Caenorhabditis elegans: one gene and its partners. The protein of the gene in region 1 purifies or fractionates together with the protein of each later gene. This does not show direct contact. Each region holds a gene or a part of one and is shown in the gene's direction. Other genes may lie near its edges. The genes, in order: asp-12, ZK1320.3, ttc-1 and Y50D7A.10.

Region 1 (4,624 bases):
CTTGCTCTTGGTCTTGCAGTTGGTCCTTCAAATAATCTTTTTAAATATTTCAGAACTGAAATCTACTCACTTGCAGGTTGGTCCTGGAATCCAGAGGTTAGAGGATCCGGTATCCAAAACAACGATGAATCCTTGATCTGGGGTTCCGATGGTGATGTTTCCGAGGTACTCGAAATCTCCAAAGTCATTGACATTTTGTGGGAGATTAGCAAGAACATTTGGGGACACAGCTCTGAGATTTCTCTGGTATTCAAGGTAAGCTGGATATTGTCCAGTACGGATCATTCCCATCTTCTTGGATTCCCTCCATACGATCTTGTGTTGATGGACTGAAGCCGATGCAAGGCCAAGAACGGCCAGAAGGATGAAGGTCTTCATACCTGAAAATAAATATTTCAGAAAAATATTCTAAATGGAAATGAAATTGAAAGTGTAGATAAACGAGTGAAATAATTTTCAATTTCAAGAGCAAAAATTGAAGTAGAAAATGTCAGATAGTGCTATGTTTTATACTTGTTGAGAAAACTCATGGGCGCACTGACGTAAGTTTAATTGGTTGATAAGAACCGCCTTCTTATTTGGTTTGTACCCGATCGGTGCGATTCTTATCACTAAAAAATGAAGTTTAGTGAAGAGAGTAGTGCCGATGATTCCGGCTTCTGGAAGTAACGACTGAAAACTGACGAAACAGCTTTTATGAGCTAATAAAACTCGAGTATTAACTGAATCAAAAGTGCGTAAAGTTCCGTGAACGGTACCCGGAGATGGATGACATTTGAGTCAAGTGCTGATAGGTCAATACCAGGTACACACGTAGGTTTACTGGCTAAATCCGGAGTAATACGTGATGAATTACGTAAGCGATAGGAAAGTATACAGTTTGAGCATGGCTAAAACTTGAACAGACAGAGTCCAAAGGATGATATAATGAATGACGAGAGCCTTATTTAAGGCATCACTGTAAGATTTTCCAACAATTCAATTTGCTCTGTATTATAGTTTTCAACATTATACAGTTTTTGAATTGAATAAACTTTTTGAGTTGGAAGGTTCTTAACGGCACTTTCTATCTCATCTTACTTCACAGTTAGTAAAATAGTTACAATAGTGCCCATTATTTGAATTTTATTTGAAAATTATGTCCATTTCCAATTGTTCCACAGCATTTTTTTTTGCAAAACTCCATATTTATATGTAGATAAACTTTTTGCCAGAAAACTTGCCAGGGAATAGTTAAGGATGAATTTTCAGCCTATCTTCCTAAAGACCCCAAATATAAAATTTTTGGTGGATTGCAGAGAAAGCTAGGCATGGTTTCAAGTTTTACAGTTCACCCTTTTGAATTGGAAATCCAATTAATACTGTACGCTTGTTTTGCAAGTGTACCCAAATGACATCACTATTTTCTGCAGTTTTTTTTCCGGCTCTGTATTATTTTGGCAGTCAACATGATAGCTTTATTGACATTTCTTTAAATCAAACGTTTTCCTCAATCATTTCCGCTGTTTTACTTCTCAACCTGTGACAGTACAAACATCTTGATCATCACGTGCCCAATAGCCAGGCATGTTGACTATGAGCCGGAACTTTTCTAGATAAGCTTCTTACGAATCTAGATACGTATTCTGATTTATTATCAATAATTTATCGCATCAGATCAAGAAAGTGAGAGTTCTTGCGTCAGATTGAAAGAATAATGGCCAAAGTTTCCAAACTTTGCACGGACATTCTAGTTTGCAAAGTTATGAGCTGAAGAACGAAAAATATTAGGTTTCTATGGTATTTAATCTTAAACGCATAAATTTTAGGAAGAAAGAACCATTTTAGTTCTTGAATACTTGTATTACACTTTCAAATACCCATATTTCAAGCATAATAGGACTACTGAACTTTTTATCGTACCGGGCATTCACACAGTCTCGCACAAAAGTCAACCTAAATGATATTGTATTTCAAACAGTTGTTCGTTGAAAAACTAGTAGAATCAAGAAACAAACATGATTTCAACCAAAATTAATGAAACCTCTTTTATTTCAAAACACAACACGCACTGAAAACATCGAAATATTCAATAAATCTTTTCAGAAATGAAGACAACTCTTCTCGCTTTTGTAGCCATTCTTGGCATGTGCTCGGCAACTGTGGTTCAGCATAAATTGATCTATCGGGAATCGCCAAAGATGCAAATGATGAGGCGAGGAGAATGGGGAGCATACGTTCAACACAAGGCTGCCCTACGTGACGCCAATCCAGCTGTGTTCGCCAGTGCTCCACAAAATGTCAATGATTTTGGAGATGTTGAATACCTAGGAAATATCACGATTGGAACTCCTCCACAACAGTTTATTGTCGTCTTGGATACTGGTTCTGCGAATCTCTGGGTTCCAGGAAGTAACTGCGAGTCAGTAGCCACCTTACACAATGGTTTTTAAATTTTTATCATTTTCAGTGGAACATGCAAAGGAAAGAGCGAGTTTGACTCATCTAAATCTACAACATTCAAGAAAAACGGACAATCATGGCAAATTCAATACGAATCTGGAAGCGCTAAGGGAATCATGGGAGTAGATACTGTTGCTTTTGGTGGTGCTTCAGAACAACAACTTCTTGTCCCATCTACCACTTTCGGTATTGCCTCTCACATTTCGTCTAACTTTAAGAATGTAAGATCTATTTCCCAGATTATTTGATTCTTCATCGGAACGAAACTTTCAGGACGCTGCTGAAGGAATTCTCGGGCTTGCCTTCACATCTCTTGCAGTCGACGGAGTTACCCCACCACTGATCAACGCCATCAACAAGAAAATTCTCGATCAACCTCTGTTCACAGTCTTTTTAGAACATAAGGGAACGGCAAAGAATGTTGGAGGAGGTGTCTTCACCTACGGAGCCGTTGACACTACCAACTGCGGACCAGTGATTGCCTATCAACCACTTTCATCTGCCACGTATTATCAGTTTGTTGCTGATGGATTTAAGCTCGGATCATACTCAAACAATAAGAAATCTCAAGTGATTTCCGACACTGGAAGTTCGCTCATCGGAGGACCAAGTGCTGTGATAAATGGCTTCGCTCAAGCTTTGGGAGCAAAAGTGAGTATCAGTTTAATTTTGACTCGTTGTGAGGGACAAACAGTTTTTTTAATCTTTATATCTAAACCTTTTCCAGTACCACAGCGATGATGATGCTTACTACCTCCCATGCTCAACATCTAAGGGAACTTTGGACATTACTATCGGAGGAAATGTGTATTCTATTGAACCTGTCAACTATATCCTTGATGTTGGAATGGGTGACACTTGTGTCTTTGCTGCTTTCTCATTCGATTTCGGAGGATTCGGACCATCATGGATTTTCGGAGATCCTTTCATCCGTCAATACTGCAACATCTATGACATCGGACAACAGCGCATTGGTTTTGCCAAGTCTCTCCAGCCTTCTTCAAAATAAACTCTATGCAATGCGATTGTGAGAAATGAAAATGAATACTTCAATTTACTTTTCTTCAGTGTGTGATCTACGTGATTATGGTCAAAAGTCCAACTTATACATATCGTCATGTACACCTTATTTCTTTTTTCATTTTCTGGACAATTTTGTGAAGTGAAAACCCACGTCACAGACCGTTATCTGATTGAGTATAAATGATAAGAAATCATTGTCAACTCAAATAAAATAGGAATTTGTTAACTTGTAGTACGAATTCTCCTTATTCTTATCTATTTCATAGACTGAGCTGTTTCATTCGTATTACCTTTTTTCTGTGTTTTGTCAGCTTTTCCTACTATTTATAATTTAATGTTAACTTTCACGACCATTTTTCCAGGTATGAAGACCACTTTCGTAGCACTAGTTGCCCTTTTGGGCCTGTGCTCGGCAACCGTTGTCCAGCACAAGCTGATCTACCGTGAATCTATCAAGATGCAAATGATGAGACGTGGAGAATGGGGAGCATACGTCCAACACAAAGCTGCTCTTCGTGACGCTGACCCAGCTGTGTATGCCAATGCTCCACAAAACGTCAACGACTTTGGAGATTTCGAGTATCTCGGAAACATCACCATCGGAACTCCACCACAGCCATTCCTCGTTGTTTTGGACACCGGATCTTCAAACCTCTGGGTTCCAGGACCATCTTGCGAGTGAGTAAATCCTTGTTGTTTTTGATTTTTGATAATTATTTTCCAGTGGATCCTGCAAAGGAAAGAGAGAGTACCAATCAACAAAGTCCTCGACTTTCAAGGCCAACGGAAAGCCATGGCAGATTCAATACGGATCTGGAAACGCCAAGGGATACTTGGGAGAGGATACCGTTGCCTTTGGAGCCGTCACCGAGAAACAACTCCCAGTTCCATCTACCACTTTTGGAATTGCCACACACATTTCATCCGACTTCAAGAATGTAAGTTTATAGTGTAACAAGAACTAATGTATATTTCAAGTATCCGAAAATCTATTTTAACACATGTTTTTTTCCTTCTGTTTTTTTCATTTTCTGTAATTAGAAGGACAGAAAAATGTAAAGCAAACAGCTTTTTAGTGCCGATTTTTATGACGATGACTTTAAGAATGCATTTTTACGATCATTATCAGTTCAAACACAGTGGCAAAATTTAGGAATGC
Region 2 (4,620 bases), on another chromosome or scaffold:
CTTTATGGTCCAATATATGGATACACTGAAGGAACCATTAAAACTCTAATTGTTTCTGATATCGACATTGTTCGTCAAATTTTTGTTGAGCAGTATGACAACTTCTATGGTAGAAAACTGAATCCAATTCAAGGTGATCCGGAAAAAGACGAGAGAACTAACTTGTTCTCGGCTCAAGGATTTAGATGGAAAAGGCTCAGAGCTATATCTAGTCCTACTTTTTCGAATAACAGTTTGAGAAAAATCAATGTAACTGTGGAAGACAGTGCGATGGAATTATTGAGACATATTGAAGAACAAACTTCGGAGGGACAACAAATTGATATGTTACAGTGAGTTTTCGATGTATTGGAAAAGTAATTTAAATTTTAAATTACAGATTCTACCAAGAGTTCACAATGGATACTATAGGACGAATTGCAATGGGTCAGACCGACTCGCAAATGTTCAAAAATCCACTTTTGAAGTTTGTCAGAGCGGTTCGTTTTGGTACTATTACCAGTGAAATTCAACATATATTTCCAGATATTCGGAGATAATCGAAAGCATATTCCCCTCATCGGTGGAGTTTTTCCTACTCTTGCTCAAGTTTTTCGATTTTTTATGTTGAAATTTCCATTGTTGGGAGCAGCCAATTTCATTCACGTCAACAAAACTGTTGTGACAGCCGTTCAAAATCGTATAGATCAGAGGGAGAATGATAGAAAAAATGGAATTGAAATCGGAGAGCCACAGGATTTTATCGATTTATTTTTGGAAGCAAGAGCAGATGATGTGGAGCATTTTCAAGAGAATAATGGGGATTTTTCAAAGACTAGTAGCTATGTGAGTTTCAGGAGAAAAATTATTCCTGAATTTAAAAAATTGCAGGGAAACCGTCAACTAACAACTCAAGAAATAGTCGGTCAGTGTCTCGTTTTTTTGATTGCTGGCTTCGATACAACTGCTCTATCCTTATCCTATACTACATTTCTCCTAGCAACACATCCAGAAGTTCAAAAGAAATTACAAGAAGAAATAGAACGAGAATGCATAGAACCATCAATTTCATTTGATCATCTCTCAAAACTAAAATACATGGATTGTATTATCAAAGAGACTTTACGTTTGTACCCTTTGGGAACAATGTAGGAGTTTTAAATTTATACTTCACATAAAAAAACAATTATTCCAGGGCGAACTCTCGGAGATGCATGAGAGCCACTAAATTGGGAAATGTAGAAGTTGAAGTTGGAACAATGGTTCAAGTAGATACTTGGAGTCTTCATACTGATACAAAGATTTGGGGAGATGATGCGAAGGAGTTCAAGCCAGAAAGGTTTTTTTTTCAAAATTAAAAAATATATTCAGATGTATTATTGGCTTAATTTTTGAAAGTTTTAAAAAGCGAATCACTTTGGAGAGTATTCCACCTTTTAAATTATTTAGTAAGAGATCCTACTAGTTATTATTTCAGATGGCTTGACCCCAACTGTGACCAAGTTTTCCAAAAAGGAGGATATATTTCATTCGGATTAGGACCTCGTCAGTGCGTTGGAATGCGATTGGCTTATATGGAGGAAAAGATGCTCTTGGCTCATATTCTTAGAAAATATACATTTGAAGTTGGCACCAAGACAGAAATCCCATTGAAATTAGTTGGAAGAGCCACGACTCAACCGGAAACTGTTTGGATGCATTTGAAGCAAAGGATATGAACTCAATAATTTTCGACCCTCTTTGTTTGTATTTTAGTCATCGAAAAAGCTTTCAAATAAAACTTTCTTGCTTTTTAGAGTCTGAAAATGTTCAGCCTATTTTCTGAGAAACTCGTCTATCCTTTAATTGAAGAACAATTTTGAAAAACATATCAGACTAATTTGGTATTTCTACTAATTTTACTCGCATAAACTTTTGAATCATCTGATTGTGAGCAATATTGGATCAAGAAATCAGTTTTGTTAAGCTGCTGGCTCCCCGGAATCAATGCTCATAAACTTATCTGTAAACAACTTGTCCTTTAACTTTTCCAGTGATATCATTAGTGCTTTCCCATTTTTCTATTTAATATTCTTATCACTATAACTGAATGTCAAAAGAAAACGCTCATAATTTAAAAAACGTCAGTTTTAGACTGATAACTCTCTCCACAATTCATACTAATTTGACCATTTGCTACTTAAATTTTTTGAAGCATATATTTATATTTTCAGGAGAATGAAGTTTCTTCTTATTGCTTGTTTGGCAGTTCCTGCAATCTTAGCTCAACAGACGTCTGCTCCAGGTGGAAATTTGTGTACTTATCCTCCACAAGGAGATGAATCAAACCAAAAGGCTGTTCCTATTCAGGACTTCAGAACGTCTGGATTAGATTTCGTTAGGTCAGTTTATGTTCAAAAATTGGAACAGCTTTAGTAATGATTGGTTTAGGCCGCGGCCAAGTTATGTTGAGCCAACTCTTGATGGTCTTACTAGTTAGACCCAGAAAAATACTTTGGCAACAGTGGGATACTAAACGATTACCAATTTTTGAACCACATAAATAGCCGAATATCTTAATTTAAAAAGTTTCAGACCAAATTGGTGCATCACCCACTGTGCTGACCGCAAATCTGTCAAAGCTGCTGTTCGCTTCCAATTTGCCAATCAGTCAACTGCAGTCCGTAAGTTAACATAGATCAGTACACTAAAGTACATGTAAAAACATTTGGAACATTATGAAAATACCAGTAAACATCCTAGAATTTAATGGGAATTTTCAGCAACCTACAAAGTTCGCCGTACTTTCACCCGTTATTCAGGAATGAAGGTTCATGCTGAGCTGATCAGCGGAAACCCGACCAAGCGTGACGATGATCCTTTTAGTAAGTGATTTCATCTTATGGTATAAATACATGTCAAAATTTCAGACTTCTGTATGGACGATGCTGTGTCGGCCCAGATTGATACTATTGTCAACACCTACAATGACATCGAAACCATGTCAGAAGCCCTCAACTTCTATATCAACAAGCCAGGATGGGCGTATATTATTTACGATGTAAGTTACACAAGTTTTTTTTTGGAAAATATATAGGTGTCTACTATTTCTACTTGAATACATATATTCAGATGGGAGTACCACCAAGCATCATTGAGACTGACAATGTCAAACACGATATGAACTACTGTGAGAAGTCTTCTAACAAGGTAAGTACTCAGAAAATGTTGTAAAATGCAACAAAACCAGACCTGCAAGTATCCGAATTAGAAATTAGACCTCACCAAATTTTACAAATTTTTCAGCAAATGCCGGATGGAACCTACATGACATATCAAGTATTCGCAGGACTTATCAAGGCTAATTGATTTTTTTCTTTTAATTTTTAATAAACGATTTAACTATTTAAAGTTTTACATTGAATATTTGATTCTTATTATTCTCAAAATGAAATCATTAGTGATTTTTCAATATTTAATTTTCCACTCTTTATTTTCCGTTATCAACACATTCAACTGGCAAAAGAGGAGGCCGGTGATGTGGAAAATTTCAGTTTTTAACTGATAACTTCCGATAATTTGACCATTTGCTACTCGCTTTGAAACGTTTTTGAGTATAGTTTCCTTTTCATTTTTATCGAGAGTTTTTAGGAAAATGAAGCTTCTTCTCCTTGCCTGCTTAGCAGTTCCAGCAATTTTTGCTCAACAAACTTCTGCTCCAGGAGGAAATTTGTGCAATTATACTCCAGTTGGAGATGAATCCACACAGGATGCAGTTCCAATTCAAGATTTCCGATCCTCTGGATTGGATTTTGTGAGGTTAGTATATTCCTTTTCAAGATTAAATTAAGAATTCATGTAAAGTCAGAGTGTCTGATCTAGAATTGTTTTATCCTTTTAATCAATAATTTTAAATTTAATTATTCAAATCCAGATGAAAAAATCCATTTCTACTTTTCAGACCAAATTGGTGCATCACTCACTGTGCTGACCGCAAATCCGTCAAGGTTGCTGCACGTTTCCAATTTGCCAATCAGTCAACTGCAGTTCGTAAGTTAGCGTTCAAAAAATATTGAAAGCCACTTCCTAGTTTTGAAAAATATAATTGAAATAAAATATGTGGAACTTTATCTAACTCATTTTCATATATTTCAGCAACCTACAATGTTCGCCGTCACTACACCCGTAAATCTGGAGTCAAGGTTCATGCTGAGCTGATCAGCGGCACTCCAACCAAGCGCGATGATGATGATTTCAGTGAGCTCCTCTTTTTCTAGAGTAAACCTGAAATTCATTTGTTTTCAGATTTCTGCATCGACGACACTGTTTCTGCAACAATCGATACGGTTGTTAAGACTTACAATGACATCGAAACCATGTCAGAGGCTCTCAACTTCTATATCAATAAGCCAGGATGGGCTTATGTCATCTATGATGTAAGTCATATCAGAATCAGAATTGGCTCACTGCTGATAAAATCCAAAAATTCAAATCCGAACTTTAACCCTATCCATTTAAGATGGGAGTTCCACCAAGCGTCATTGGAACCGACAATGTCAAGCAAGATATGAACTACTGCGAGAAGTTTGCCCAAAAGGTACACTTTTATTATCTAAAGTAGATAAAGCTTTTCTACTTTCAGCAAATGCCGGATGGAACCTG
Region 3 (4,826 bases), on another chromosome or scaffold:
CATTTCTTGGATGTTCCAGTTGATTTGTCTAGGTTTGAAGATGCTTCTCCTCTTGGTTCTATAATTTTATTTCTAATTTTCAGAGTTTTGTTCATTTGCACGGCAAACGAGATTTCAAAAATCCCGGGACCACTTCGTGATCGAATGGAAATGATTGATGTTAGCGGTTATTTAGCCGAGGAAAAAGTTGAAATTGCTCATCAACATCTCATTCCTCAACTCAGAAAAGACACATCTCTCGCCACAGAACAACTGAAAATTGAAGATTCTGCGTTGGAAGAGCTCATTAAGCATTACTGTCGTGAATCTGGAGTCAGAAATTTACAGCAACATATTGAAAGAGTATGTTTTGGTAAAAACAGGACGATCCGCGAGACCCGAAGAACTCGGGGGATGTCCAATTGGGGGGATTACCAACTCGGGGGATTGGCCCCGCCCACATAACCGTGGCTTGCAATACGCCCATTTCTGCAACTGCCGCACGGTTTTAAAACTGTATTTTTCTCAATAGAGCGAGAATTAACAAGAAAAAATAATTTTTAAACCGTGCGGCAGTTGCAGAAATGGGCGTATTGCAAGCCACGGTTCTGTGGGCGGGGCCAATCCCCCGAGTTGGTAATCCCCCAATTGGACATCCCCCGAGTTCTTCGGGTCTCAGATCCGCGCCTCGAGTTGATTGTTCTGTTTCGACAATTATATTTAGATTGCTTATAGAAATTACCTTTTTTTTCCAGATTTTCCGTAAAGCAGCTCTTCAAATTGCTGAACAACAAAACGAGGATGAGGAGCCAGCCGAAAAAGCAACAACTGCTATCACTGAAAACTCAGAAGCCGAACCAATCACCTCTACATCATCTGCAGATTGTTTAAAATCTTCAGCCGAACAAATTGTAGTTTGCACAGAAAACTTGCAAAAGTTCGTTGGAAGACCCAAATTCACATCAGATCGAATGTATGAAGTAACACCGCCTGGAGTAAGCGAAAAAACTGTTTTAAAAACTTAATTCACGTTCCGTTCAGGTGATAATGGGTCTCGCATGGACAGCAATGGGTGGATCTGCACTTTATATTGAAACTGTATTGAAACGACCTGTTGATTTGACAAATGATAAGGATGGAAGTATTGAAACAACTGGAAATTTAGGAGATGTAATGAAAGAAAGTGTTCGAACAGCGTTGACTGTTGCAAAAGGAATTCTTGCAAGAGAGCAACCCGATAACAAATTCTTCGATAAAGCACATATTCATATTCATGTACCCGAAGTGAGCTTAATCTTGAAATAATTTCAACTAACCAATTCCATTTTTCTAGGGAGCAACACCAAAAGACGGACCATCTGCAGGAGTAACTCTTGTCTCAAGTCTTCTTTCACTCGCTTTAGACCGACCTGTTGTGCAGGACATGGCGATGACTGGTGAAATTTCATTAACCGGAAAAGTGCTGCCAGTTGGTGGAATTCGGGAAAAAGTGATCGCGGTGGGTCCTCTGTTCTTTTTTCGTTCAAAAATTTCATTTTTTTTCAGGCTCGCCGTGTCGGAGCAAAACGAGTCTTCCTTCCAAATGAGAATCGTCGAGACTTTGATGATTTACCAGAATTCATGAAATCAGAGTTGGATATTCGATTCGTTTCGCATTATGATGAGCTCTACGAGCATCTCTTCCAATAATACGTGTCCCTTTCTTTCACCCCCAGTTAATACCTTTCAGATAGATTTTGTTGATTCACCTAATCCATTTTTTCTTGTTTTGTTATTTTAAAAACGTTTTGAAAAGAAAAAAGTTCAGGCTATAAACATTTTCCTACTTTTATTTTTGTTTTTTTTTTAATTTTAATAATCTCAAGTTGTTTGATCTTTTCAAATATTTTTCATTTAAATTCTAAATAATATTCTCTTTATTTAAAAACCATTATTTTCAGCTTTAGAAATGGCAATTATCGAAGAAATTTTCGAGGATGAAGAGGATCAGATAACAAAAGTGGATTCATTGAAAAAAGAAGGAAATAATTTCTTTGCGAATGGAGAATTCGAAAAGGCGAATGAAAAATATCAGGTATTGGAATGTTTTGCAAACGTGCGGCGCGGTTTGAAGCTTGTCGATTTACGCAGGATTTTGTACTACACGTGGACAAGTATTAATTCAATTTTCATATAATTTTATAGTAAAGAAAACAATAATTTGAAAAACAAAAATTTTGATTTTTAAAAATATCGAAAAATTACAAACAAGAATTTTAGCTGAAAACTACACAATCATCTCAAAAAAAATCCCCACTTGTCCGAGTGTAGTACAAAATTCTTCGTAAATCTACATGCATACAACGCGCCGCAGACTTGCAAAATTAACGGCTTGATCGGTCTATTTCGACAGTATACAATTGAAATTTTTCCAGGAAGCCATTGCCTCGTGCCCTCCAACATCCACAGAAGTACAATCGATTCTTCTTTCAAATTCAGCAGCTGCACTTATCAAGTTAAGAAAATGGGAATCTGCTGTGGAAGCTGCGTCGAAATCAATTGAGGTACTGAAGAGAGCATGAAATATTACACAGACGCGAAATTTTCCCAATTTCGACCACAAAATACGGCCTTGTCACTAAAATTTGGCGTTAAAATGAATAAAAGTTTGCAGCTTTAAGTATTTCTGAAATTTCCAACAAAAATTTCGATTTTCATTTTTCCTGAAAATCAAAAAGAAAAGGGTTTTGAAAATTGACAAAAAAATCCTTTTCTTTATCAAATTTTGTTTACTTTTACGAAAAAAACATCAGGAAACACATAATTATCTTCTACAAGAGGAAAAATTGGCAAAATTTTAAGATATTTTTCAAAAAATTAAAAAAAAATCGAAATGTCGGAAAACTAATTTCTCATAAATCGAAAACCCGGCTCCTATAGTTGGAAACTACAGTAATCCTCAAAAGGCGTCCTTTTGCATTTAACAAACGGTTTTCGTGTTGAGACCCTTAGATAGCAAAATTTTGCGACTTACTATTAGCTAGTTAGCTTGAAACAAATAAAATCAATTTTCAGATTGGAGCAACCAACGAGAAAGCACTGGAACGACGGGCGTTTGCATACTCGAATATGTCAGAAAAGTATGAGAATTCTATTGAAGATTATAAACAGTTACAGGTATCGATTTTGGTAGATTTCTTTTTGAAATTAGAAGTAAACTTTTTCCAGGAATCTCTTCCAAAACGCCGCGTCGAACTTGATCGGAAAATCGCTGAAATCAATGAGAAAATTAATAATCGAAATGAGGCGATGAAAGCCGATGTGATGGAAAAACTGAAGGGTTTCGGAAATTTCTGTCTATCGCCGTTTGGGCTCTCGACAGACAGTTTTGAGATGGTCCCGAATGGAAATGGAGGATTTTCGGTTCAAATGAAAGGTGCTACGAATAAACAAGAAGGTGCAAGTCAGGAAAAGAAAGAAGAGGAAAATGCATAATTGGCCGACATTCTTTGAATTTTCTGTACATTTTCTATCTGCATTCCGGTTAATAGTCTTCTTGCTTTCAATTTCGTGATTTTAAAGATTAAAATGAACATTTCTATTTGTATTCGTGAAATTTTAATCGCTCACACTAAAATGTTCTCTGGTCTCGAAAAGATCGAAACTTTAAGGCTACCGTATCAGGGATGGAGGGGATCTACAAAAGGGTCATTCCTAAATATATGATAACTCATCTTTTGAAATGAAATTATATCGTTTACTACAATGTAACTACATATAAAATGCAGTTTCGTTCTGTTCATATGTAGTTTGATCTCTGATCTTTGAACTCTCTTTTCTCTAGTTCTGTAGATGTATTGTACTGGGAGTTTATGGAATAACGTTATAAGATATAAAAACACTTTGAATATTCAAAAAAGTCAATTTATTTCCATAGAAAGAGAGCTATTAGGTTGCCTGCTCCACACTTGGCTTCTGCGGATTCTTGAACTCGTTGATCTCAGCCTCCTCCCAATCGTACGGGAATTCCTGTAATTATGATAAATGATAACACTTTTATTGTGTGAAAGACATACATTTTTGCCACTGAAGAGAATCGCGTTGGTGAGAAGTCCGTAGATTTCTGTGTAGTTCGGAGTGTCGGTGAATGAAAGTTTGTCAACCTGAAAAAGAATGGATTGTTAGGGGAAAAGTTGCAAAGGAGTTGCCTACTATTTGCATAATGTCGACGAATTCTGGTGGAAGACCTCCGAGCATTTCACGCATTTGAAGACCATTTCGGCACAACTTTTGATAGTCATGCACTTCTTTTGGTTTCTGGAAAAGGATACATAGAGAAGGGCTTTGATATATGTCAAAAATGCATTTACACCTACTTCGCCGTGCAAAGTTATATGCAAAGGAGGATTTCCAGGCAGGCGTCAGGCAGGCAGTCATGTGCCAAAGCCTGAAACCGCCTGCCTCCCGTAAAAGCCCAAGGGTATAGTGATGCCGTTCTTTGATGCAAAGTTACTTTCAGAGACATTCTTCGATTGCATTTGGAGCCATATTCTACTCAACAAGTCTTACCTTCAAATGAGCCCACGGAAGACATCCCTTAACCAGCTCAACACTCATATAGAACCACATTTCCAAGTCTTCCATTCTTGAGAATTCCACTTTCGAATATGCGGCACGTGGCATATGACGAAGACTTCCCACGTATTTCCATGGATGAGCTGACGGAGGTTTCAGTGTTCCATCCTTAATCATGTACTGATGAGCAAATCCAAAGTCGAGAATATAGATCTGAAATTAGGAATTTGAATTTGAAATTTGAAAAAAAAAGTTTATGCGTTTACATTTCTTAAATCAGATTGATTGTCACC
Region 4 (8,671 bases), on another chromosome or scaffold:
AAATTTAAAAACACCCTAAAAATTCTGAAAAATTAATTTTTTTTTCTTCAAAATTTTGTGTTTCTAAAAAATATTTCAAAATTCCTAAAAATTTTCAGTTTTCGCTAAAAATCCACGTGGAAAATTGAAAATTTCTCCAATTTTTCTCCGCAAATTTCAGACTCAAAATACTACAACACAAGCCGTATGGACTATTTGGCTCCGCGAGTTCCGATGCGTAATAGTGCACTGAAACGTCTATCCGTCTACGTGGCAGAAGTACCGTGCCACGTGGAATTTGAAGAGTTTGACGAGTTACGGTATGGCGGGAATTTGAAAATTTATTTTTGAAAAAAAAAAAAAATTTTTAGCTAAATTTTTTATAAAATTTCGAGTTTTTTGAGCTTCAAAATTCAATAATTTTCAAAACCCACCTTAAGCTCCGCCCCTTTCTGACCCGAAATTTTGTTTCAGCTGGACACCACAAGCTGAGCAGTACCCATCTCCTGTAGATACTGACGGTTATTTCCTCGTCGGATCCCATCATGACGTCATCATGCACTCGGGACGTGTCCGCTACCCAGGAACACTCGAAAAAATGGGACAAACTATTCTGTTGACGCCAATCGCCGAGAAATAACGACGCTCCGCCCACTAATTTGACCGATTTTTCCGGAAAAATCACTTTTATAGCCCCGCCTCTTTTTTTTCTAGGCTCCGCCCCTTTCTTGGCAAATTTCCAGACTCCGCCCTATTCTTGGCAGTTTTATTCGGAAAATGCATTTTTTTTTTCAATTTTCACCTAAAATTCGTATTTCCCAAAAACTTTTGCTCAATTTCCCGATAAAATCGATAAATTGTTAAGCCCCGCCTTCTTTTTCTAAGCCCCTCCCCTTTTTTGGCAATTTTCCAGACTCCGCCCCATTCTTGGCAGTTTTAGTCGGAAAATGCATTTTTTTTTTTCAATTTTCACCTAAAATTCGTATTTCCCAAAAACTTTTGCTCAATTTCTCGATAAAATCGATAAATTGTTAAGCCCCGCCTTCTTTTTCGAGGCTCCGCCCCTTTCTTGGCAATTTTTTTTCAGAAATGGGTAGATCACTCATTTTTTGTGGGAACTTTCAAAATACTTCAACTTTTGCTTATTTTTACGAAAAAAACAAAATAATTTCCAAGCCCCGCCCCTTTCTTGACAATTTTCCAGACCCCGCCCCTTTATTGGCACTTTTAGTCGGATAACTGAATAATTATTTGATTTTCACCTAAAATTCGTATTTCCCAAGGAATTTTAGCTCAATTTCCCGAGAAAATCGATAACTTCCTAAGCCCCGCTCTCTTTTTTCGAGACTCCGCCCCTTTCGAGGCAACTTGTCTGACTCCGCCCCATTCTTGGCAGTTTTAGTCGGAAAATGCTTTTTTTTTTCAATTTTCACCTAAAATTCGTATTTCCCAAGGAATTTTAGCTCAATTTCCCGAGAAAATCGATAACTTGTCAAGCCCCGCCTTCTTTTTCGAGGCTCCGCCCCTTTCGTGGCAATTTGTAAGACTCCGCCCCTTTTTGTTTTTGACAATTGTTCAGATTCCGACCCTTGCTTGGTAACTTTTTTAATATTTCTTGTTGTACATTTTTGTTCGTAATGTATATTTATTGCATAAGCTCCGCCGCCATTTCTTGGCCCCGCCCCCATCCTATGAGGCTCCGCCTCTTTTTCTATACCAACAATTTCTTTTTTGTATTTTATTTCTCTGACATTCCTTTGCTCATTGTCTTTTTTGAAATTTTTTGATATTTTATAATAAGCTAGCCACGCCCCTTTCTTGGGTGTGGCTCCGCCCCTTTATTGGATTTTTTTTCAAAAAAATTTACTCTCTCTCTATTTTTCTTAATTTCTTAATGTCGTCCAGAATCGTTTTTCAAAAACGATTTGAATATTTTTCATCATAAGCCCCGCCCCTTTCCTCCCTAACCACGCCCCCACTTTGCAGAGATGACGTCATCGCTCACAATATGCTCAATTCCAGACGGAGTGAAGGAGGATTTGAAGAAGTTTCGATTCTCGAAGAGTACAACGATGAACGCTTTGATTTGTAAGTCCACCACGCCCATTTCATGGCAGATTTTTCGAAAACTAAGCCACGCCCACTTCTCTAGGCGCCGCCTATTTCTGGGTCAATTTTTGCTAAAAATCGTGAATATAGAATAAGATTAAAAAGGCCACGCCTAGTTAATGGCGACAAATGCAATTCTAAAAATAGGCCACGCCTATTTTTCTAGGCACCGCCCATTTCTCTAGACTCCGCATCGTTAATGGAAATCTGCCAAATTTTATGAGTTTTAGAAAATAAATTCTGGTAGACTTATCGGAAAGTACCATAGCCCCGCCTACTTTTGGAGGCTCCGCCCACATTTTATCCCAGGCTCCGCCCCTTTAATAGAAACCAAAAATTTTCTCAAAACTTGCCGAAAAAATGCAGGTTTATATAGATTCCAAAAAAAAAATTCCAAAAAAATTTGGTCACGCCCACTTGCGGAGGCTCCACCCACTTCTTGGCATAAGTCATTGAAAATGCAAATTTTTGCGAAAAAAACACTGCAACTTTTTCCTCACGAGGGACGAGGAAAAGTGGTTTCTAGGCCATGGCCGAGGGGCCGACAAGTTTCAGCGGCCATTTATCTTGCTTTGTTTTCCGCCTGTTTTCTTTCGTTTTTCATCGATTTTTTCGTTTTTTCTTAATAAAACTGATAAATAAATATTTTTTGCAGATGCTAAAACAATTTCCAAGTAAAAAACTTATGTATTCAGTGGGCAAGCAGCGGTGAAAGTGGTCAATGCAATATGATGGATTACGGGAATACAAAACCTAAACTTTTTCTGAAACATGATACATATGCTGCTTAGATGCTGAAACTACCTGATTTTCATAACGAGACCGCTGAAAAAGTTTTGAGGTTTCCGAAATTCAACTTTTTTTGCGAAAATCTCGGCTTTTTCACCAAAAAAGTTGAATTTTGGAACCTTCAAAACTTTTTCAGCGGTCTCGTTATGAAAATCAGGTAGTTTCAGCATTTAAGCAGCATATGTATTATGTTTCAGAAAAAGTTTAGGTTTTGTATTCCCGTAATCCATCATTTTACATTGACCACTTTCACCGCTGCTTGCCCACTGAATACATAATTTTTTTTATTTGGAAATTGTTTTAGCATCTGCAAAAAGTATTTATTTATCAGTTTTAATAAGAAAAAACGGGAAAAAGCTGTGAAAAACGAAAGAAAACAGGCGGAAAACAAGGCAAAATAAATGGCCGCTGAAACTTGTCGGCCCCTCGGCCATGGCCTAGAAACCACTTTTCCTCGTCCCTCGTGAGGAAAAAGTTGCAGTGAGAAAATTAGTTTCTGGGCTGAAATTTTCGGTTTTTCCCAATTTTTCAGTTGTAAAAATCCAAAAAATTGCCATTTTTCAGTGAAAATCGACCGGGAATCGCATGAGCTTCAATCGGAGCAACTGCTCAATGATTGCTCAATTGAAGAGTTTAAAGAAGAGCTTCCAAGTCAACAACCACGGTTTATTCTACTCAGTTGGTGCAAAAAACATTCGGACGAACGAATTTCATATCCAATGCTTCTGATTTATTATTGCCCAAATGGTAAAATTTTTTTGTCGAAATTTGTCGAAAAATCTCGAGAAAAACGCTAAAAATGTTATGTTTTGCCGGAAAAATCGGGTAAATTCTGAAGTTGTAGAGCTAAACTTAAACGAAAAATGGTCAAAATCTGCTCATTTTAGAAAAAAAACCAAATATCGCCTAGCCCCGCCCCTTTCTTGGCAAATATTTCAAATGTGCGGACTCCTCGTACTCATTCGGTGATTTTTATGCCGGAAAACTCAAAATTCTACAGTTTTCTACTTGAAACTTTACATTTTTGAAGAAAATTTGCGCATTTTCACTAGGAATTCAAAATTTGTGTAAGCTCCGCCCATTTCTTGGCCAATATTTAAAAATGTGTTACATATTCCGCTTTTTCGGTGAATTTTTTGCCGGAAAACTCAAAATTCCACAGTTTTCAAGCAATTTTGCGTACTTTCACAAGAAACTAAAAGTTTGCGTAAGCTCCGCCCCCTTTCTTGGTAAATATTTCCACAATATCCAAACTCCGCCTACGTTTTAGATGAATTTTCCGCCGAGAGACTCAGAAGAAGAATTGTCTTTTCGTCTTTTGAACTGATATTGGTTTGGGGTTAGTGAAGGGATATGGTCGGGGTACTGTAGGGGTACGGTAGGATTACTGTAGTTTTGGAAAAATTGTCTTTTCGTCTTTTGAAGGGATATTGGTTTGGGGTTAGTGGAGGGATATGGTCGGGGTACTGTAGGGGTACGGTAGGATTACTGTAGTTTTGGAAAAATTGTCTTTTCGTCTTTTGAAGGGATATTGGTTTGGGGTTAGTGGAGGGATATGGTCGGGGTACTGTAGGGGTACGGTAGGGGTACTGTAGTTTTGGAAAAATTGTCTTTTCGTCTTTTGAAGGGATATTGGTTTAGGGTTAGTGGAGGGATATGGTCGGGGTACTGTAGGGGTACGGTAGGATTACTGTAGTTTTGGAAAAATTGTCTTTTCGTCTTTTGAAGGGATATTGGTTTAGGGTTAGTGGAGGGATATGGTCGGGGTACTGTAGGGGTACGGTAGGATTACTGTAGTTTTGGAAAAATTGTCTTTTCGTCTTTTGAAGGGATATTGGTTTAGGGTTAGTGGAGGGATATGGTCGGGGTACTGTAGGGGTACGGAAGGATTACTGTAGTTTTGGAAAAATTGTCTTTTCGTCTTTTGAAGGGATATTGGTTTAGGGTTAGTGGAGGGATATGGTCGGGGTACTGTAGGGGTACGGTAGGATTACTGTAGTTTTGGAAAAATTGTCTTTTCGTCTTTTGAAGGGATATTGGTTTGGGATTAGTGGTGGGATATGGTCGGGGTACTGTTGGGGTACTGTAGGGGTACTGTAGTTTTGGAAAAATTGTCTTTTCGTCTTTTGAAGGGATATTGGTTTGGGGTTAGTGAAGGGATATGGTCGGGGTACTGTAGGGGTACGGTAGGATTACTGTAGTTTTGGAAAAATTGTCTTTTCGTCTTTTGAAGGGATATTGGTTTGGGGTTAGTGGAGGGATATGGTCGGGGTACTGTAGGGGTACGGTAGGATTACTGTAGTTTTGGAAAAATTGTCTTTTCGTCTTTTGAAGGGATATTGGTTTGGGGTTAGTGGAGGGATATGGTCGGGGTACTGTAGGGGTACGGTAGGGGTACTGTAGTTTTGGAAAAATTGTCTTTTCGTCTTTTGAAGGGATATTGGTTTAGGGTTAGTGGAGGGATATGGTCGGGGTACTGTAGGGGTACGGTAGGATTACTGTAGTTTTGGAAAAATTGTCTTTTCGTCTTTTGAAGGGATATTGGTTTAGGGTTAGTGGAGGGATATGGTCGGGGTACTGTAGGGGTACGGTAGGATTACTGTAGTTTTGGAAAAATTGTCTTTTCGTCTTTTGAAGGGATATTGGTTTAGGGTTAGTGGAGGGATATGGTCGGGGTACTGTAGGGGTACGGAAGGATTACTGTAGTTTTGGAAAAATTGTCTTTTCGTCTTTTGAAGGGATATTGGTTTAGGGTTAGTGGAGGGATATGGTCGGGGTACTGTAGGGGTACGGTAGGATTACTGTAGTTTTGGAAAAATTGTCTTTTCGTCTTTTGAAGGGATATTGGTTTGGGATTAGTGGTGGGATATGGTCGGGGTACTGTTGGGGTACTGTAGGGGTACTGTAGTTTTGGAAAAATTGTCTTTTCGTCTTTTGAAGGGATATTGGTTTGGGGTTAGTGGAGGGATATGGTCGGGGTACTGTAGGGGTACGGTAAGATTACTGTAGTTTTGGAAAAATTGTCTTTTCGTCTTTTGAAGGGATATTGGTTTAGGGTTAGTGAAGGGATATGGTCGGGGTACTGTAGGGGTACGGAAGGATTACTGTAGTTTTGGAAAAATTGTCTTTTCGTCTTTTGAAGGGATATTGGTTTAGGGTTAGTGGAGGGATATGGTCGGGGTACTGTAGGGGTACGGTAGGATTACTGTAGTTTTGGAAAAATTGTCTTTTCGTCTTTTGAAGGGATATTGGTTTGGGATTAGTGGGGGGATATGGTCGGGGTACTGTAGGGGTACTGTAGTTTTGGAAAAATTAATCCTTGAATTTTAACACTTTTGAAAAAATCCAAAAAATGTTTGGCGCGAATTTTGAATTTTCTGACAGAACAAATTCAGAATGTGAGTAAGACCCCGCCCCTTTCTTGGGGGCAAATTTTTCGAATGTGCGCCCTCTGCCTACTTTTTGGTGAATTTTCTGCCGGAAAACTTAATATTCCACAGTTTTCTGCTTGGATCTGTACATTTTTGAAGTAATTTTGCGCATTTTCACTAGAAGTTCAAATTTTTGCCTAGCCCCGCCCCCCTTTCTTGGCAAATTTACAGACTCCGCCTATTTTTCGTGAGTTTTTGTTGCCGGAGAACTCAAAATTCTACAGTTTTCTACTTTTGGAACTTTATATTTTTGAAAAACTTTGCAGATTTTAATGAAAAATTCGAATTGTTGTTTTTAGCCCCGCCCCTTTCTTGGCCAAATTTTCAAAAATGCCGATTTTGCCCATTTTCTAAAACTTTGTGTGGTCGAAAATGTCAGCATTTTACGATTCGAAGCTTAAATTTTTGAACTTTTAAAGGAAATGTGATGTTAGGCTCCGTCCACTTAATTGAAGGCACATGTTTATCGAATTTTCCAAGAAAGGGGCGGGGTTTCGCCAATTTTATCCAAAAAAAATTTCACGGAAATGTAAAATTTTGTCAAAATTTTAGAATTTCGTGATGAATTTTCGATTTTTTTGAAATTGAAAAAAAGGCGTGGCTTGCTGGACTTGGCCCCGCCCCCTCTTTCTTGACTAATTTCTTTGAGAATGCAATTTTTTCTGGGATGATTTTGCCGGAAATCTTAGAAATCCCCACTTTTCTGCTTGAAAGTTTACATTTCACTGCAACTTTCTCCTCACGAGGGACGAGGAAAAGTGGTTTCTAGGCCATGGCCGAGGGGCCGACAAGTTTCAGCGGCCATTTATCTTGCTTTGTTTTCCGCCTGTTTTCTTTCGTTTTTCACTGATTTTTTTCGTTTTTTCTTAATAAAACTGATAAATAAATATTTTTTGCAGATGCTAAAACAATTTCCAAGTGAAAAAATTATGTATTCAGTGGGCAAGCAGCGGTGAAAGTGGTCAATGCAATATGATGGATTACGGGAATACAAAATCCAAACTTTTTCCCAAACATGATACATATGCTGTTTGGATGCTAAAAGTACCTGATTTTCATAACGAGACCGCTGAAAAAGTTTTGAGATTTTCAAAATTCAAATTTTTTAGTGAAAAAGTCGAGATTTTTGCACAAAATGTCGAATTTTGAAAAACTCAAAACTTTTTCAGCGGTCTCGTTATGAAAATCAGGTAATTTCATATGTATTATGTTTCAGAAAAAGTTTAGGTTTTGTATTCCCGTAATCCATCATTTTACATTGACCACTTTCACCGCTGCTTGCCCACTGAATACATAATTTTTTCACTTGGAAATTGTTTTAGCATCTGCAAAAAATATTTATTTATCAGTTTTAATAAGAAAAAACGAAAAAAATCGATGAAAAACGAAAGAAAACAGGCGGAAAACAAAGCAAGATAAATGGCCGCTGAAACTTGTCGGCCCCTCGGCCATGGCCTAGAAACCACTTCTCGTCCCTCGTGAGGAAAAAGTTGCAGTGCATTTGTGAAAAAAAATTCACGGGTTTCAACAAAAATTTAGAATGTTTGCTTAGCTCCGCCCCTTTCTCCTTGCTCAGTTTAGGCTCCACCCACCTAATGGAAAACAAAAAAAAAAGGATTTTTTCACAGGAAGCAGCCCGGAACTCCAAATGCTGTACGCTGGGAGCCGTAATTTCATCGTCAACGAATGCCACGTGTCAAAGGTGAACAGAAAATTAGAAATTGTGCGGAAAATAATCAATATTTACACTTTTACAGAACACGGAAATCCGAGATATCGATGAAATCGACGACGAACTGCTCGAATCGAAATTTTGAATTTTGAATTTCCACCGCCGGCTGAAGATATTTATACGATAATTTATTTATGTTAATTTGCGATTATACAGAATATTCAGACAATAAATATTTATTTTTCTCGGAAATTGAGTTTTTGAACATTTTATGGGAATTTCAAAATTGTGATTTTTTGCCATAACTAAATTAGATGGCTTAAAAAAATTTGGGCAAAAATAAAAAGTTGTCTAATTTTGTTGAAAATGGGTAATTCATGTATGCTGCATTTAGAAAATCTAGGTTTAACCTATCAAAAATTGCTAAAAAGTGGCAAAAATGACAATTTATGGCAAAAAATCACAATTTTGAAGTTCCCATAAAATGGTTAGTTTTATAGTTAGAGGACTCAAAATTGATTTTCTAAGTTTTAAAAATTGCCCTTTTTCAGAATATATTGGTTTTGTACAATTTCCGAAAAATTATTTTTTTTGCCCAAAAAAAAAAGGACAGTCATTAGATGGCTTAAAAAAATTTGGGCAAAAATAAAAAGTTGTCTAATTTTGTTGAAAATGGGTAATTCATGTATGC

The links.
Region 2: the proteins of asp-12 (region 1) and ZK1320.3 fractionate together in Caenorhabditis elegans (co-fractionation; one large-scale study listed by BioGRID). This does not show direct contact.
Region 3: the proteins of asp-12 (region 1) and ttc-1 fractionate together in Caenorhabditis elegans (co-fractionation; one large-scale study listed by BioGRID). This does not show direct contact.
Region 4: the proteins of asp-12 (region 1) and Y50D7A.10 fractionate together in Caenorhabditis elegans (co-fractionation; one large-scale study listed by BioGRID). This does not show direct contact.

What each region holds. Positions count from the first base shown.
Region 1 is NC_003283.11:8,268,558-8,273,181, forward strand, and holds asp-12 (Peptidase A1 domain-containing protein), read left to right. Parts: upstream 1-2,085; 5' UTR 2,086-2,087; coding exon 2,088-2,401; intron 2,402-2,449; coding exon 2,450-2,663; intron 2,664-2,715; coding exon 2,716-3,093; intron 3,094-3,169; coding exon 3,170-3,451; 3' UTR 3,452-3,499; downstream 3,500-4,624. Other genes in the region: asp-6 (Aspartic protease 6), read right to left, coding at 1-25, 71-378; asp-5 (Peptidase A1 domain-containing protein), read left to right, coding at 3,830-4,143, 4,190-4,403.
Region 2 is NC_003280.10:9,657,992-9,662,611, reverse strand, and holds ZK1320.3 (uncharacterized protein), read left to right. Parts: upstream 1-2,192; 5' UTR 2,193-2,196; coding exon 2,197-2,360; intron 2,361-2,553; coding exon 2,554-2,642; intron 2,643-2,741; coding exon 2,742-2,843; intron 2,844-2,888; coding exon 2,889-3,019; intron 3,020-3,090; coding exon 3,091-3,168; intron 3,169-3,264; coding exon 3,265-3,327; 3' UTR 3,328-3,366; downstream 3,367-4,620. Other genes in the region: cyp-13A10 (Putative cytochrome P450 CYP13A10), read left to right, coding at 1-332, 380-479, 526-825, 871-1,127, 1,175-1,318, 1,457-1,697; ZK1320.2 (uncharacterized protein), read left to right, coding at 3,614-3,777, 3,920-4,008, 4,114-4,215, 4,264-4,394, 4,478-4,555, 4,601-4,620.
Region 3 is NC_003279.8:10,673,905-10,678,730, reverse strand, and holds ttc-1 (TPR_REGION domain-containing protein), read left to right. Parts: upstream 1-1,919; 5' UTR 1,920-1,927; coding exon 1,928-2,053; intron 2,054-2,393; coding exon 2,394-2,522; intron 2,523-3,033; coding exon 3,034-3,135; intron 3,136-3,186; coding exon 3,187-3,453; 3' UTR 3,454-3,563; downstream 3,564-4,826. Other genes in the region: lonp-1 (Lon protease homolog, mitochondrial), read left to right, coding at 1-32, 84-342, 735-974, 1,021-1,263, 1,313-1,477, 1,525-1,668; C34B2.3 (Protein kinase domain-containing protein), read right to left, coding at 3,907-3,987, 4,035-4,121, 4,171-4,275, 4,528-4,746, 4,800-4,826.
Region 4 is NC_003281.10:313,495-322,165, forward strand, and holds Y50D7A.10 (ADF-H domain-containing protein), read left to right. Parts: upstream 1-1,965; 5' UTR 1,966-1,967; coding exon 1,968-2,067; intron 2,068-3,441; coding exon 3,442-3,624; intron 3,625-7,936; coding exon 7,937-8,010; intron 8,011-8,065; coding exon 8,066-8,125; 3' UTR 8,126-8,222; downstream 8,223-8,671. Other genes in the region: Y50D7A.1 (F-box domain-containing protein), read left to right, coding at 161-299, 454-619.